Linked DNA regions of Saccharomyces cerevisiae S288C. The protein of the gene in region 4 interacts with the protein of the main gene of each other region in a biochemical or structural test. Each region holds a gene or a part of one and is shown on either strand. Other genes may lie near its edges.

What was found.
Region 1: of the proteins of CKA1 (region 4) and ELF1, one has a biochemical effect on the other in vitro, tested with the Saccharomyces cerevisiae proteins (4 studies listed by BioGRID, with this or other methods).
Region 2: of the proteins of CKA1 (region 4) and FIP1, one has a biochemical effect on the other in vitro, tested with the Saccharomyces cerevisiae proteins (4 studies listed by BioGRID, with this or other methods).
Region 3: of the proteins of CKA1 (region 4) and MAF1, one has a biochemical effect on the other in vitro, tested with the Saccharomyces cerevisiae proteins (2 studies listed by BioGRID).

Annotation. Positions count from the first base shown.
Region 1 is NC_001143.9:151,099-154,983, reverse strand, and holds ELF1 (Elf1p), read right to left. Parts: upstream 1,716-3,885; coding exon 1,278-1,715; downstream 1-1,277. Other genes in the region: RCN1 (Rcn1p), read left to right, coding at 533-1,168. UniProt on the Saccharomyces cerevisiae protein: Transcription elongation factor implicated in the maintenance of proper chromatin structure in actively transcribed regions.
Region 2 is NC_001142.9:602,326-606,908, reverse strand, and holds FIP1 (cleavage polyadenylation factor subunit FIP1), read left to right. Parts: upstream 1-2,705; coding exon 2,706-3,689; downstream 3,690-4,583. Other genes in the region: transcription factor IME1, read left to right, coding at 1,258-2,340; BUD4 (Bud4p), read right to left, coding at 3,831-4,583. UniProt on the Saccharomyces cerevisiae protein: Polymerase-regulating component of the cleavage and polyadenylation factor (CPF) complex, which plays a key role in polyadenylation-dependent pre-mRNA 3'-end formation and cooperates with cleavage factors including the CFIA complex and NAB4/CFIB.
Region 3 is NC_001136.10:456,019-460,811, forward strand, and holds MAF1 (RNA polymerase III-inhibiting protein MAF1), read right to left. Parts: upstream 2,086-4,793; coding exon 2,080-2,085; intron 2,000-2,079; coding exon 818-1,999; downstream 1-817. Other genes in the region: putative DNA-dependent ATPase RAD57, read left to right, coding at 1-565; SOK1 (Sok1p), read right to left, coding at 2,524-4,793. UniProt on the Saccharomyces cerevisiae protein: Mediator of diverse signals that repress RNA polymerase III transcription. Inhibits the de novo assembly of TFIIIB onto DNA.
Region 4 is NC_001141.2:286,047-290,780, forward strand, and holds CKA1 (casein kinase 2 catalytic subunit CKA1), read right to left. Parts: upstream 2,863-4,734; coding exon 1,744-2,862; downstream 1-1,743. Other genes in the region: CST6 (Cst6p), read left to right, coding at 1-1,383; CAP2 (F-actin-capping protein subunit beta), read right to left, coding at 3,180-4,043; cAMP-dependent protein kinase regulatory subunit BCY1, read right to left, coding at 4,373-4,734.

The DNA.
Region 1 (3,885 bases), on a different chromosome or scaffold from region 4:
AACCTGTGTTTTTAAGTACCTTTTTATGTCAGATTTTTTGAACTATCCTTCGATTGTTATTTCTTGATATAACGTTTACATGATTTCTTAATTTACAACGCGGACGAATTAGATTGAAATTATTTAGCATATCTGTCTAAGAGCACATTAGATCGAAGTACCGTAGCACATCTGCCATACTATCAAATGCATCATCACGAAAAGGCGCAGTGTTGATGGATAGTAAATATGAAAAGGATCTCTTCTTAGGTGTTCCAAGCCTCGCTTCACGTGTAACATACACAGTTTAGAAGTTTACCAAACCGCGGCAAGGCGCTGTAAGGTTCAAGAGGCTTTGAATTATGCTATCTTACTATCTTGCCGCAAGTTGCTGTCAGGTGTAGTTCCTAGGCGGCTCGTTGACAAGACCCTTCTGCCCAATGACTTCTATATAAAGTATGGTTTTCTTTTTAAATACAGTAATTCCATGAAAAAAAGAGGGCCAAAAAGATCAAGCAATAAACCAACCGATATATAAAACACAGAACTGCAGATGGGTAATATTATAACGGATACGATAATTATAACCTCGGATAAGTGCGACATTGTTGATAATGATAATGTTGAAAGAATCCAGGTTTGGCTATCCAAGAATATCTTAAGGAAGTTTCAAATCAATGAAAATGAACCACTACAGTTGATTATTTTGAAAAGGTTTAAAAGAATACTGTTGATCTGCCCCAGTCATGATATATCTCAGCATGTTATGGATGCGTCTCGTGCTTTAGAAATGGAAAATTTTAACTTCAGCTACTCCTTGCAAGACGGACAAAGGAATTTAACTAAACAATACTTGAAGGTACCAGAGAGTGAAAAAATGTTCCTGATATCGCCCCCAGCATCACCACCTCCCGAATTCGATTTCAGCAAATGTGAGGATGCGCCACAAAGGCATATACAAAGTCATATACAACAGGACCAGCAGCAGCGGTTGGAAGCTAGCCAACTATTGCCTAATAATCCAGACAAAAATAACAATGGTACTTTCACGTTATTGAAATCAAAGGTGGGCGCAATTACCATTGATAGATGTCCCACGAACGATGGAAATGGACAGATGCAATTAGCGGACCACGTTAAAACCGCTTTCCCACCAAAATCTATATTCGATACTGATGACGATGATTAAGATGGCGAGGCGATTTGTTGGCTTAAGAGACTTAAATGCTTACGGGTGGTTGCTTTAAAATATAAAATATATATGACCTAAGTAAATATGGTTTTTTCTCAGGACCGGATTATTCATCGTCACTATCTACCAAGGCGCCTCTGCCTCTTTTAACTTGGCCTATCCTCTCCTCGTCCGAGTCTACCTCCTCTTCATCAGAATCTATTTCGCCATCATTTTGCGTTTTAGCATCTTGCTCTGAATCACTTTCGTAATCACTATCAGAACCTTCGTCACCATCATCTGTGTCACTTCCACGGCCAGAATTGACTTCTTCGACGGCGTCAAACCAATCACTATATACATCAACAGGCTGTGATAATGAATTTATGCGCGTTTGGAACGACTGCCCACAAATCTTGCACGATAAAGTTCCTATACTATTTTTTTTGTCCAGAGTGCATGAAACTGATTTTTCATGATTACAAAATAAACAATTGAATTTCGTATCTAATTTTTGGACCAGTCTCTTGGTAGGCTTTCTTGTTGACTTCTTTCTTTTACCCATGGCTCGTTAATTGTTTTCAGTGTTTTTTATGACATTCTTCTTCATAATTCTCCCCATCTTTATTACTATTCCTTTTCCAATTATTTGTAGATTATTGCTTTACCAAAGTTTAATCATTTTAAACGTTTTTGTTTCTTCCGTTTTCAGAATTTTTACAATTTGTCACCGAAATAGCAGTTTTTGTTTAATTTTAACGCTATGGGGTAAAAATTTTGGGCCCAATTTCAACTGAAAGAAGAGATATTTTAAATATGATAAGATAATCTTATAACTACGAATTTATTATTTTGTACGTGTCATAATAAATAAGGAAGTGCCTGAAGAGCGTTAAGTAACTTTGGAATCTTCGTTATGAAAACATTGGCTATTTGTTTCAGAAAAAAGCCGTTTAAGTACTTAAAAGAATAGTTATGTTTATATAGGTATGGTGACGAGGCTCTACATAGGACTAATAATGGTGATTTCCCGTCCAGTTTGGTTTACCCTCGTACCATCAAAAGCCTACAAATTCACAGGAAAATCGAAAAAAGATCCTTTCAAAGGTATTTTTCGTCGTGGTTTATTTCCAATGTTGTCATCTTTTTGTCTAACATCTCTCCCACCGATTTTGTCTCACTAACGCGATGATTTTGAATAGGAATGTAGTTTGAACTGTGAAATCATGACAGAATAAGCATGTTACATATAAATATTGGTTACCGTATTTCTTACGCTAGCATACTTCAAGTGTCTTTTGTACTTCTTAAGTTCTTTTGTTTTTGGATAATGATTTAATGCGACACATTGAAAAGGATAATGAATTCTTGCTGGGAACCTCGAACCAAATATTGTGACCTGGAAATGTTGTGTGCAAGACACCGTGAAATCACGCAATAAGACATATCTATACCGTGACAACTCCAAAAAATCCTAAAAACGGCAATTACGTGCAGAAGAATAACGGAAGTTCAGATAGTGGAGAGAAGAATTTATTCTTGTCCCTAAAATGCCCACCAGAGCAGCACTTCTAGTAAGCACATGCATGCTCCACCGCAAATCATCATATTGACGGTATCACACTATAAAAGAATAAAACATGTTGCAAGGCATAATTACTACCGAATTGCAAAAAATTGAACACCAACTTAGCGTGGTTCTATCAGAGAACGACATATCAATTCCTCACAATGAAAAACTAACTGACTAGAATACTTCCACTTTGGTGCCGCATTTGATGAAACAGCAAATAATACCTACACTTAAGTTGAATGAAGATTTCGTTTTCTTTGAGATAGCTCGAGGACATTCACGAAAGAAAAAATTTTAAAGAACAGTTTATAAGCTCTTTTTTAGAATCCTATTCTGTTTACTTCACTGTTCACTTACTTTCGGTCCCACATCTACAAAACATCTACAACAAGAACGTGGGCGATACAGCAAAAAATCACTTGAAATAACAGAATCAAGTTTCTTATCCGATTTCCTACTTTTGAGCTCCGGCTTATGTTGAAGATGTTACTTTTCTTTGTCTCTAAGTGATCTTTATTTTTCTGGCTCCAGTGAAATTTGGTAATAGCATAGTCACTTCAACTAAAGTCTGATAGTAATACTTGCAAATATTGCAAAACTTGGAAGAATGTTAATGAATCATTTCTTGCACCATTCTTTCAATCATCTCAATCTCCTGCTGTGATGTTTAAGTATAACATTGAAGACTATGCCCTAATTTCCAATGTTATTTAGTTTTAAGCATATCTTTGTTTCTAACAGGAAACTCAGGCCCACATCCGCAAAAAAATATGTGCCAAAAAACTTTCAACACTTCAAAGATACTTACCACTGCAGGAAAATAATCTACGTGTAACGGTTTGAAAATAAATTTGACTTCATAATTGGACATAAGTACTCCATCGCCATCCCTTTTTAAAGAAGTTTCCACAAGAATGAATGGCTAATCGCAACTAAATCTTTTCCTTGCAAACGTAACACAGTATCGACATTTTCTTACTCAATCCAACGAAGGAATAACCTATCTAAAAAATAAACGCCGTAGTTTTCAGCCCACAAGACGTCATTAAAAGATTTGTTAATTATAAAAATAGAAATATTTCTACCAGCATGATTATTCGTTACTTGAAAGTCCCCAATAAATTTCACTGTTTCCGTTAACTGTTGTAGTTATTAAACGCAG
Region 2 (4,583 bases), on a different chromosome or scaffold from region 4:
AAAACGTTACACTGCCACGGTGTTATAGCAGCCGCAAAGTGAGTAAGCATGTGATGGTACCTTCAATACTGCGTTGGAGAAAAAAAGTGCGTATCTTTGTTTACTTTTCGTCTTCGAGGGGAAGGATCAAAGGCGCATGCGTGCCCGCAGGAGGGGGCGCCAGGATTGGGGGTAGATACAACATCAAGGAAGCGTCATGGTGGCTTCTTGGGTCTTAAATACGCAGGGAATTAAAGTTTCATTTATGTGCCTTTACATGCACTCAAAAACCTTCTTAGTTACAGGAAAAGGTAAAGATACGATAAGAAAAGCCTTTGAACTGCCCATCCTGCATCCTAACACAGATCTAACTCACTATTCGGGTAAGGAAGTGTCATGCATGTCTGCAAAGGGACTAGAAGAAAGTTACATGATTACATAAGCAAAAAATCGGAATTACAGACACACCATTTTTTATCCTGCGGCCCCATTTCCGTCTTCGAGGGAAAGGATCAAAGGCGCTTAGCCCAATCTTGATGATTCACCGGGGAAGAAAGGAATTACAGAACCCCCAGCCACGTAACACAGCCAATTAGTTTTCTATATCGGGAAACGTGATTGATTGCGCAATTTTGGCTGCATCAGAATACATCGATGAGATCTAGAGCACCCTTTGATGGTTTAAGTCCGGTTTAAAGTTAGTAGATCAATGATTTCGTAGTGCATTTTAAAGGGAGCGCTTATCCATGGGTGATTGCGTTTACAACGTTTTGTGTGTACTCATAATAGCCAATCTAAAATTAAACAACAACAACAACGCACAATTAATATGTATCAGCCCCAATACCTTTTTCTCTTACTGTAATTTACTACTAAATTGGGGTCGGACGTTTTTGATCTTGTTCCTTGCCTGTTGTTTACCTTGTATATTACTTTTCCTCTTTTATGTATTTAAGGTAAATTAATTATCTTTTGATCTTAATATTTTTCTCAAAATGCTTCCCTTGTAGTTCGGTATTTTTGCTTCTTCAGATATTTAAACTACCGTATACCATAACTGTTTCGTGAAGTAGATACAAACATCGACTATCCTATTACGATTTATTTTACATTATCATATTATAAATCGACCAGTAGTATTGTTAAAGATTAAAAGCATAATATACTACTGTCATTAGTCACCTACAGAGAAACAAATTCCTACTGGCACCCATTACTGGTGAAAAAGGAAAAAAATAATAAAAGAAAAGCTTTTCTATTCCTCTCCCCACAAACAAAATGCAAGCGGATATGCATGGAAAACTTCACGCTGCCTTAGAAGATGGTTTCTTCCTCTTTCCTTTTGAACAGCAACAACAACCTAACATTTATTATGACACAACCACCGATCAAGAAGACCGTCCTTGTTTTTCTTTTGGATCTACAATTTCCCCTAGAAGTTGGCATTTTGAAAAGTCTGACAAAATTGCCTCATCTCAGCTGCAGAACTTGGTTCATACACAACCAATTCATTTAATTAATCCTCAAATATTGTTCAATGAAGAGTTTCTGAATTTGGAAAATATTGATTCTCAGCCTATTTCCAAGGAAACGAAAACTACGAAGGACTGCACAATGGCAACTGGTCCTGAAAGAGGAAAAAAGAGCTCTGAAAGTACCAGATCCTCTTCATTATCATCTCTTTTTTCTAATGATGAATCCGCATCTACGTTCCACTCATCATTCAATAACCATGATAACTTTCAAAAGAGCAACAGAAATGGAGATGATATCGATATTAGTGACACAATAAAATATGAAACTAATACAAATGCACAAAAAGATATCAAAATATTCCAAGAAAATTTTGAATTCAATGAATTCCCATACACACAAGACTTCTACCCATATACCACTAATTATACCTATTCAAAACCCACAAATATTCATGAATCAATAAATTCAAAAAACACGGATTCATACTCCCAATATCAAGATCAGTTTCCACCACATACTGATAACATACATTCCTTTAATAATCGTCACTATAGCAACCATAAAAGCACTAATTGTAATTACTATAATAATACCAGCAATAATAACAACGCCTCCGATAATGTATATGAGGCAGATCCATTTATAGATGAACCTCAGGTGCCCTCCTACTATTACCCATTAGAAATTGCCTTCGACGTTGAAAAATCACCACCGCCATCACTACAAAAATTAAATTCAAAAGAGTTAGAATTCCTAAAAAAGTTGAACTCCAAACTGTCAAGATATGCTGCGGCTTACTCCTTCAGCAGTTCTAATGATCAAGATTATTATGACAAGGTCAGGTTTCAAGAAATATCCTACAAGTTTAGTAAAACCTATTCTTAATTCTCGAAAAGTACTACAATCTTCCCCCTTCCCTCAAAATATATCCATTCACACTCATTTCTTTATTTCCATTGTCTCACTCAAATTGCTAAGAATTTGTGTATTTGCATATATATATATTATATATAGGTATATATATGTATTCAATGTCTCAAGCTCCATGACATAATACCGTAGCGTTATTAGCCTTATCGTATGTCGCGATGGGAAAGGAGATTCGTTTTAATCTTGAAAAACCTTCGTAGCGAATAATGCGACATAAATCTTGAGAGAGTACATCACCAAATTCACTTTGTTAAACCGCACCATCGTGCTTTGCATTCTTATTCCTTTTGCCTACACTAAAATTATTAGCATTTCTCTAAATGAGCTCCAGTGAAGACGAAGACGACAAGTTCTTGTATGGTTCCGACTCCGAATTAGCACTACCTTCATCTAAACGATCAAGAGATGATGAAGCAGACGCAGGTGCGTCCAGTAATCCTGATATAGTTAAAAGGCAAAAATTCGACTCTCCCGTGGAAGAAACTCCAGCTACTGCCAGAGATGATCGTTCTGATGAAGATATCTACTCTGACTCCTCAGATGACGATAGTGATTCTGACCTAGAGGTTATCATAAGTCTGGGTCCTGACCCTACTAGGTTAGATGCAAAACTACTCGATTCTTATTCTACCGCAGCGACATCTTCAAGCAAAGACGTAATTAGCGTAGCTACAGATGTATCCAATACCATCACAAAGACATCAGATGAAAGACTAATAACAGAAGGAGAAGCAAATCAAGGTGTAACGGCAACGACCGTAAAAGCTACAGAGAGCGATGGAAATGTACCGAAAGCAATGACTGGTTCTATAGACCTGGATAAAGAGGGAATCTTTGATAGTGTTGGCATAACGACAATAGATCCTGAAGTATTAAAGGAGAAACCCTGGAGGCAACCGGGGGCCAACTTAAGTGATTATTTCAATTACGGTTTTAACGAATTTACCTGGATGGAGTATTTACATAGACAGGAAAAACTACAACAAGATTATAATCCTAGGAGGATCCTAATGGGCCTATTATCCCTCCAACAGCAAGGGAAGTTGAATTCCGCGAATGATACAGACTCAAACCTCGGTAATATAATTGATAACAACAACAACGTAAACAATGCAAATATGTCTAATCTGAACAGTAATATGGGTAATAGTATGTCTGGAACACCAAACCCTCCCGCTCCACCAATGCATCCAAGCTTCCCACCCTTACCTATGTTTGGTAGCTTTCCACCATTCCCCATGCCAGGTATGATGCCACCCATGAACCAACAGCCTAATCAAAATCAAAATCAAAATTCGAAATGAATGGGGATCTGTGAAATTGAAATAAAAATATATCGTCCATGATTCACGTATTTACTCTTATTATGTGTATTTAATTAATCTTTAAACTAAAGACCTCTCAGTCATCAGATTATATGCTGTTTTCATTCCATTAATCACCTTCTAATTAAAATCTTGCTTCAAATTATGACCGGTTGTTCGAGTCTTTTCCTCCTCAGCTAACTTTTCACAATACTTTTTCACCCAGGGTTGATGGAAAACATTCAACTCAACAACTTCCTGGAGCTTATTGTACCAATCACTTTTTTCCTCATTAGAGCATTCCGCGTTGAAAGTAATTCTTTCACCATCGTCAAATACTAGCTGGAAGCATTCATTAAAGAGTACCCAATCTGTAAAATTCCTTTGCCCTCCATTATCCGCCTGGATGTCTTCATTACGTAGGACTTTCGTGACTTTCAACAGATTAATATCGATCTTAGCCTTTCTAGAGATTTCATGATAACCAGAAAGTTGCGAGCCGTGCAGTTTGAAAAACCTGTTTTCTATCTTTCCTTTCAGATCACCACCATCCTGCAATAAATACCCTTCTTTATAGATATTTTGTTGCAACTTGTATTTGGAAACAATCTTATTGACCAATGAAAATTGTTTGGGAAATTGTTCAAAGGCAGAAGTTCTTTCTAAGAAACATGCTTCCACATCCAACGAAGCCACTTTGTGAGGCGCCTTGCGTGGTAACTCGTACAGCCTTTTTGAGCCGTGAATTTTGTCTGCGATTCTACTCCACTTGTTAATCATATTGTAATGCATATGACTGGTATTAAATGCCACGTTTTTCAAAAACTCTTCATTAATTTCAATTTCACAACGAGCAAATGAACCGTCTTGTGCAAATAGATAATCCCACTCATC
Region 3 (4,793 bases), on a different chromosome or scaffold from region 4:
AGTTGGGGATAAACCACTGGCTAACAGTCCAGTGGCACATAGGACATATGTAACTGATTATGATTATCAGCTAGGGTGGCTAGTTGGCTGGAAGAACTCAACCATTCTTTATCGGCAGATGAATTCGCTGCTTGGAGCAAGTTCCAATAACGATGAAATTCTATCAGACGATGAAGATTATATGCTAATCGAGAGAGTTATGAGCACTGTAAATGACCGGAATTATGATTTTTTTTCAAAAAAGAAACCACCCATAATTGAGAATAAAACCGTTGAGCGAAATTCATCAAGTCCTATCAGTCGACAAAGTAAGAAACGGAAATTTGACTATCGTGTCCCCAATCTCGGTTTGACTTGGTCCAATCACGTTTCAACACGAATATTACTTCAAAAATCTTTCAAGGCTTCAACAATAATTCAAAGAGGTGAAGCTCATCTTTATAAGGGAGGTGATTCGGCAAGCTTCTGGCAAGTTAAGAGGACAATGAAAGTGGTATATTCCACATTCGCTAAGCCTGGTCAAATTGCATATCAAATTACTAAGCGAGGAATAGAAACAGCCTGATTGAAGTTCCGTATTCGAAAGAAACTAAGAGCTTTGCAGTAATATATGATGAAGGCAGTCTTTTTATATAGTAGCGCACATTATTCAATCCTCGCTAAAGTGTTCAATTAGTAAATATAATATTGTCATAAAGGTACATAGTTGAAAAGGGTATTTTTTTAAAAATAGAAACTTACAATAGTAGACATAAAGGGACTGTTTTTAACGATTATAGGTGTAAGACAAGGAAAATTCACAAATTAAAGTTTAAAACTACTGTAGGGATTCTTCTTGATCTGATTTATCATCTATTACATTCTCATCATAAGTGAAATCGTATTCTCCTTCGTATTCATTTGAGCCATCATCTATTATAAGCTTTCCCTGAGGTTTTTTTGCCAAGGCATCTTCCACTTCGCCTGTACTCGAATTTAGACGCGAGCAAATCAAGTAAAGGTAAGCCACTCTTTTCCTTTTCCTGTTGTAAAGAAAACCTATAAGATTCCAAAGATAGCCAGGCTCATCTTCCAAAAAAGAGTTTGAAGGTGAATATTGAAAAAGGACGCAATCAGAAAGAGTCATGTGAGAATTAATTACCTCCCAGACCCATTCCTCTGGTTGTCTACCAAGAGAATATAAGGTGTTTTCAAATTTGGAAATAAAAGTTTTCAATGATGTTTTGACAAAATCCGTTGGCTCAACCGATGAAAAATCATGGTCAGGATAAGAAGCGTTGAGGATAGCAATCAGATAAGCAAATATTTTGCGGCTTGACGGTTCGTTTATGGGACCAAACGGACCCAAACTTAAATTGCTTGGCCTTTCGTTTATCGAAGATTTTCTTCTTTTGTTAACATTGTTGGTTGCTGTACCAGAACTGTAATTATTGTTCGATGATTTACCACTTTTGAAACTGCTAATACTGCTACTGCTCCTTCTTCTTATCCTCTCATCATTCTTAGAAGAAGAATCAAGAGACGATGAGCTCATAGAGCCAGAATCGTAATTCGAGACTAATTCTTTTAAATTTTGGTCATTTAGCTTGGCACTTTTGGGAAAAGTTGCTGGAGAAGAACCATTAGGTCCAGAATAGTTATTGTTATTACTGCTATTGCCATTACTGTTGTTAGTGTTATTATTGCTATTGTATTCACTAAAAGATATTCTTCTCTTTTGCTCCCAAAAAGAGTTGCTATCCCTCCTATTAGAATAAAATGGCGACGAGCAGGGTGATTGGTTTGTTTCGGGAGCAGCTAGCTGTTGCTGAAGGGTAGCATTGTAATTCTCATTTTCCTGTAAAATAGTATCCAAATGCTGATCAATAGTTTTATATAATTTTCTATCTGATGCAACCGCCTTTGTTGTGAAAATATCGCAACTGCCCACGATTTTACAGTCATTTGTCTCGAAATTGAGAGTTTGATTCACTCTCTCTATATCTAGCTCATCAATAAACTAAGGAAGAAAAGGAGGGTTCAGGTACAATGTTAGTAATTTCGAATAAAGAGCATGGCAGTTTTAGAGTGATAACATACTTTCATTGTCGTGATTCTTTAGGCAAAAAAATCCGTTTGGAGTAATGAGCGGTTAAACTTGTTCTTGGTGAAGTGTGCAGAGTTTCTAAACTTTAAGTAAATGACACTAAGCCTATATTTTTCGCATTGCTAAAGAAACACTGATACATAATGTGTCTACATTTTATATAGCTGATAGCACGTTCTTTTTAAGTTGAATTATCTTTTTTTTCTCTTGTTAAATAAGATGGACAACGCGCTTTCGCTGGCGAGATGAAGCGCCCCTGATTGACAAGCAACTCGTGGAGGCAAGTAATTAGCGACGCTTTACTTTGTCTGATAGCAGTAAATATGTGACTGCATTTAAGAAGTGAAATTATAAGAAATGTACGCTTTAAAAATGATATATGAAGTTACATAAAGAAATGGTAAAAAAATTTTTTTTTCCTCCATTACCGATAATAGTTATATTCCTTTTTTATTAACTTTATCTCCTAACATTTCGATATAATGAGGACCGAATACGGACCAATGAAGGTTGATTAATGCATATAAGTGGCGATAAACATTCTCGAATTCCTCCAGCTCTGTTGCTGCGAATAAACCTCTGGATGCAATCGCATTGCCAGTAGGTGTGGTGGTGGAGGTTTTAGAAGGAGACATCAAAGACGGGCTGATTTTAACGCTAGCAGTATCTGTAGTAGTACTCAAAGTGTTAGTGCTACCTACGTTGCCATTGTTTGTGTTGTAGAGGTACACAAAGTCTTGTTTAACGCGTCCATCAATTGTGCACTCGGACCTGTTGAAGATAGCGTCCTCTAGTGATTTGAATACTCTATTTTCTAGGACACCATAAACTTCACTGAGGGGTTGAGTTTGCTTAGATAACCAAGATTTAGCAAAGGTTATTTTTGAGTTGTCTAATGAAGGCAATTGAGGCCTTCTGGCTTGTTCACAACTACCATTGTTGTCGTACTCCCTGTGAAGATCGTCAATAACTTTGCAAAGATGAACAGCAATAGACATTGTGTTTTTAGTCCACCTACAATTGCCGTGTTCATCTGTTATAATGCTGATAATTTCATTCTTCAGCCTTTTAGTTGAGTATGTATGAATAACATATTCCTTTGTAGCTTTATCCATTGAAGGATCGTTGGCCACCAATTGTTGGAAAAGTAAACGGCAAACTAAAATACAAACAATTTGACGTATATCGGCACGCAAAAGGATCAATCTTGCATGATCAAAAGAAAGCGGAGTTGGGTACTCTCTCACCATCTTCCTACATGACAATAGGTTAATTATACTTCTAATGCAAATATTGTAGACATCAGGGATAGTGATAGAACTTGGATTTCTAACAAGGCCAGCGGTAACATTTTCGTTGAATTTTTTATCAAACCAAAGTAGGGAAGTATTTAAATTCACCCTTTTAGAGGCTATAAGAGTGTTGAAATACTGTTTCTCAAATTCTACAGCATTACTTAACAGAGCTGGCCTTAGTATTCTTATTTGATGATTGGCAATATCCAATTTCATTGTTTCCAAAATTTGAAAAACCAACCTTAAACCTTCTATTAACCTTGTTAAAGAAGAGTCTCTTTCAGCTTCTTTAAATTTGTTGCTCATTTTATCCACCCATGGGTCCCTCATGGGGGCACAATGATGTTTAAATAAATCAGCCAACCAGCCTGACAAGTTAGACATTATCAGAGAACCTTTCAATAGTTCTTGAATGTTCAATTCTGTGTCCAGTACATTATTTATCATCGGAGACTCTTTTTGTGGGACTATCGTTAACAATACATCCCTTAAAGTGTCAAAAAGTGGGACTAGTCTTGACCTGTTATATTGGAATATTTCAGGCCTCTTAGAGTAAACATAAATTTCATTTTGAACATCATTCCAATAGATATTCGCCAATTGTCTTTTTTTATTCCCTCTTTCGCCATCAAGATTTGGCCTGAATTGTAGTAGCGGGTCGAATATTATATCATGTCTTAGTTGTGGGTTTTTCAGAATTTCCTGTAAGTCAATCTCTTTTAAGCCCTGCAAATTTATAGGAGGAAATGGAACAGGCGTTGGAGTAGCCTTTATGTAGTTTATTCTATCTTCCAAAGTTAAGTCAAAGTTTGAGCTTGATAGGAAGCTTTGATTTGTCATTGAAGTGGCAGTGGAATTATTAATGTTGTCATTATTAGCGTTAGTGCTTGCGTTACCTGATATTTGTTGATTTAAAAAAATTGCGCGCTTTAATGAAAGAGGGTTTGAACTGAGAGGATTATTAGAATGCAAATATGGTTGATGATGGTTTCTAGAAAATTTTTTCTTTGATATGCCGGAAGGAGTTGGATGATTTAAAAGAATATTTTGATTACGATAGTATTGATTGTGGGATGATAATTTTCTTAAAGAAGAATGCAAAATAGTGGGTACGGAATGCGACCTCATTTTTTTATTTGAAAAGATCCTTAAAAAGTTAGAAGCATTTCCTGGTGGCTGTTGTTGTGCTGCTTGTTCTTTGTGTGGTTCCGTTGCTGGTGGCAATTGCGGCGCGGATGCAGACGGTGGTTGCTTTGACGACGGTGGTGGGGAGGGAGATGGATTGTTGATATTAGTATAAATATTCTTTGGGGGTATCGAATCAACTTTATTGTTCCTCCTTATTTCTTCTTCATTATCATCGTTTTTCAAGAATTGACCAGTCTTGGTGTCGAACGTCTTGAATATAGTAT
Region 4 (4,734 bases):
CAGCAGGATCAGCGACAACAGTCACCCTCTATGAAAACTGAAGAGGAATCCCAACTCTACGGTGATATTCTGATGAATTCTGGTGTCGTACAGGATATGCATCAGAATCTGGCCACTCATACAAATCTGAGCCAACTGTCGTCTACCCGTAAGTCCGCTCCGAATGATTCTACTACAGCCCCGACTAATGCGTCCAACATCGCCAATACGGCTTCTGTGAACAAGCAGATGTATTTCATGAACATGAATATGAATAACAACCCACATGCCTTGAACGATCCATCCATCCTGGAAACATTGTCGCCATTTTTTCAACCTTTTGGTGTTGATGTAGCACATTTACCTATGACGAATCCACCAATTTTCCAAAGTTCTTTGCCTGGATGCGATGAGCCAATTAGAAGAAGAAGAATATCAATCTCTAACGGTCAAATAAGCCAGCTAGGCGAAGATATTGAAACTTTGGAAAACCTGCACAACACACAGCCGCCCCCGATGCCCAATTTTCACAATTATAATGGTCTGAGCCAAACTAGGAATGTATCAAACAAGCCGGTCTTCAACCAAGCAGTGCCGGTTAGTAGTATTCCACAATACAATGCAAAAAAAGTTATTAATCCCACGAAGGACTCCGCATTGGGTGATCAGAGCGTTATTTACTCGAAAAGTCAGCAGCGAAATTTTGTAAACGCGCCATCAAAGAATACTCCAGCGGAGAGTATAAGTGATTTGGAAGGCATGACGACGTTTGCGCCAACTACTGGAGGTGAAAATAGGGGCAAATCTGCACTTAGGGAATCTCACTCTAATCCTAGCTTCACTCCAAAATCTCAAGGATCTCATTTAAATTTAGCGGCGAACACACAGGGAAATCCAATCCCTGGTACTACGGCATGGAAGAGAGCAAGATTGTTAGAAAGAAATCGAATTGCAGCTTCGAAATGTAGACAAAGGAAAAAGGTTGCGCAGCTGCAGCTCCAAAAGGAATTTAACGAAATTAAAGACGAGAATAGAATTTTACTGAAAAAGTTAAATTACTATGAAAAACTAATCTCTAAATTCAAGAAATTCTCCAAAATTCATTTACGTGAACATGAAAAACTAAATAAAGACTCAGATAATAATGTTAATGGCACTAATAGTAGCAACAAAAATGAAAGCATGACTGTGGATTCATTAAAGATCATTGAAGAACTTTTAATGATCGATTCAGACGTTACAGAAGTGGATAAAGATACTGGTAAGATCATAGCCATCAAGCACGAGCCATACTCTCAACGTTTCGGAAGCGATACTGACGATGACGATATAGATCTCAAGCCCGTAGAAGGTGGTAAGGATCCAGACAACCAATCATTACCCAATTCTGAAAAGATAAAATAACAAAGTTTTGGTGAGCACAACGGTGTTTCATTCAAGAATGATAAGGACAACTATATATGTAATATACGTGTATAAATACTCGAGCTGCATCCTTTCTTTTCTGCCGTTATTATTTCGTTTAGTTACTACATTTATGGTATAAATTACCTTTAAGACATTATTATTTTGCATGTATGAAATTTGCTCGTGTCAACCCCTTAGTCCTCCTTGCCTCTGTTGTATGGAGGAAGCCCTTTAAACCTGTATTTAGTTTTTTAAATCTATTAGAATTAAGTACAATTGTACAGATGGTAAAAAAAAGTAATCGTTATATCGTTTGTCAGTGATTTTTTTTTTTTTATTTCATTCATTATTTATTTCTTATTTTTCAATTTGTTCCCTTATTGGGGCAAACCACGGGTGTCCCATCGCTTCCTTAGCAGTTAATCTTTCTTGATGATCATATCTCAAAAGATTGTCAATAAGGTCAATAATTTCATCGTTGCCGCTTAAATGTTTATTACCATCATTGATGAATCTATGCCAAGGCTTTCTGATGTATTGGTCCATATCGTAAAATTCTCTCGGTAAGGTAATTTCATACTTCAACAGGTATTTCTCAAAATCGCTTGTACCAAGTACTTTGACGATCTTGACAAGCTGGTCTGTGTTACTCGTTCCATGGAAAAATGGCTCTCTTTTAAAGATCATAGAAGCCAACATTGTCCCAAACGACCACAAGTCTAAAGAATAATCATACATTCTGTAGTCAACTAGTAGTTCAGGACCCTTAAAAAACCTCGACGCAACACGAACATTGTATTCCATATTAACATGATAAAATTCAGCAAGCCCCCAATCTATCAATCGCAATTTTTTATTCTTATGATCAATCATTACGTTATGAGGTTTAACATCTCTATGCATTATTCCCATTGAATGACAATAGTCTAAGGCCTTTAATAACTCAAACATATAAAACCTAATTTCGAGATCGGTTAATTTAGGGTAAAGAATACGGAAGTCCACATTATCTACGTATTCGAAGACCAAAGCCGGAGTTTTTGAGATGGGATCCTTTATTATATCAAATAGATGAATTATGTTTGCATGACCATTGTGTGGCTGATCAAAGATATAGGGCCTGATGAATTTTAAAACGTCCTCCTTTTGATTTGTGTAATATTGATCTTTTTGAAATGGCAAAGTCGTTGGAGGCACTTTTTCGTTAGACAAATCCGTTAAGATTTTGATTTCTCTCTTGATCTTCTTCTTTTTAACTGGTTTCAACATCTTAATAACAATTTTAACTTTAGAGTCTAATTTGACACCTTGGAAAACCTCGGAGTATTTTCCTCGCCCAACTTTATTTTCAATTTCATAGTCCTTTGTATTTGTGGACCAATCAATTACAGTATTTTCATAATCCCAATATTCCTCGGTTCTTTGTTTATTGATATTCGTATAAACACGAGCCTCTGACCATACCCTGCATTTCATAGTTCGAATCAAATATTCCTTCTACAACCCCCTATTTTTGTCTGTATATTTGACTTCTTAAGTCCCTATTCAGAAAACTCCTAGTAGGTAATTGCAATACACCGAGTATCAACAGTATATGAAGTCCCTTAATCCGTTTTACTACAGGACTGCGAGGTTCGTCTAATTGCTACTGAAATTTTCCAAGCGTTGGTCATATTTTTGATTTTTCGCTTTTTCTTCAGTGTTCGTTCCGAGTGATTTTTGATAGCGCTTTTCTACCACTTAGTGCTGCTGTATGTATTTATATGATATACCAGCGATACATGTAAATATTTCTATAAAGACTGTAAACCTCTGATTACCTCTGCCTGTGCGTCTTTATTCGCTTCCTCAGCAGAGGAAGCAATGGCTGCGTTCTTTGTTTGGTGGAAGATATCTCTTGTCTTTTCGAAATAAACAGTTTCCAATAGATTTCTCATCTGAGACTCAATGTCCTCAATTAAGGAACCCAAATTAGCGACATGTGATGTGAAAATAACATCTAATGGACGGGACATATCAATAGCGATGTCCTTTTCGGTCTGTCTTGTCAGGTTCCCGGATAACATCATATGAGAATTCTGGTCAGTTTTTGTTTTGTCCAAGTGCAGAATGATTGTAGTGGTGACTCTATAGTTGAAACTGTCGGGAGAAGAAGGAGATGTTGTAACTTCAAAAACATGGATACTGTCCCAATTACTGTGATCTGATTGGTTTTTTTTGAAAAGCACTACCCCTGCAAAATCGTGCCCATTGAAATCTTCTTCATTGAGGTCCCAGAGGTACACGCTGGAGATACCGCCTTCATAATAGAGATCTCTGTAAACGTCGAAAGAGTCATTGGCTAAGATCTCCAATTTTCTTAAAGGGGCTGAGGGAAAGGGGCTGTCTTGTAGATCCTTTGGGGATAGTTCTGGGTAATAAGTGTTCGACCAAGGCGATCTGAACGAATCAATATCACGATTATAGTCGCAGCATAAGTACTCCCGGTTTGAATCGGCGGAATCTTTCTGTGTGGATAGGGGAACGTCTACTGAAGATAGTAAATCTTGTGCCAAATTTGGTTGTAATTCGATCAAGTTGTTTAGATTCTCCTGTAACGTGGTAGGATTTAGCCTCCTAAGAAGATCTAAAGCAGCATCGAATTGAGCATCAGACATTACGGTGGTGATTGTAGAGTTGGAGAGAGTTTTTGTATGTCACTTGATTGAACAGTTCTCCTTTATTTGTTACAAATGCTCTCATTTTTACGTTTTCCGTGGTGAAAAAAAAAAAAAAAAATGAACATATATACATGTAGTAACAGCAGTAGTAGATGAAGAATTTAGAGTTTAAACAGGTAACATAACGCTATAAGGGAAAGGAAAGTGGAGATGTTATACATTATATTTACGTAGACGTTGAAGGAAGAAGAAAGAAAAAGGGAACAGAAGAAGAAGAAAAAGAGAAAGGAAATTCATGTGGATTTAAGATCGCTTCCCCTTTTTACTTAATGTCTTGTAGGATCATTGAGCTTTAATACGTCTACTGCAGGACCCAGTAAACGTTGAAAACCACTTTTCCCCAATGTGGCAACTTTGGTTCTCTTTGTAGCAGTCACAGTGGCCTGTCTGGGCAAATCGTTTAGCAAGGCCACTTCACCGAAATAATCATGGTCTTTCAGTTTATTTATGACACCTTGGCCCTTCTTAGAGACGTCCACAGCTCCGTACTCAATTAAATAAAAGTTCTCCCCTTGATCACCCTCGCGAATGATTGTTTCACCCGGCTGGTAGATCTTGGTATCCAGTGCATCGGCAAGTTTGGCACGGTCGTACGTAGTCAAACTCTTCAAAACTGGCATGCTCTTCA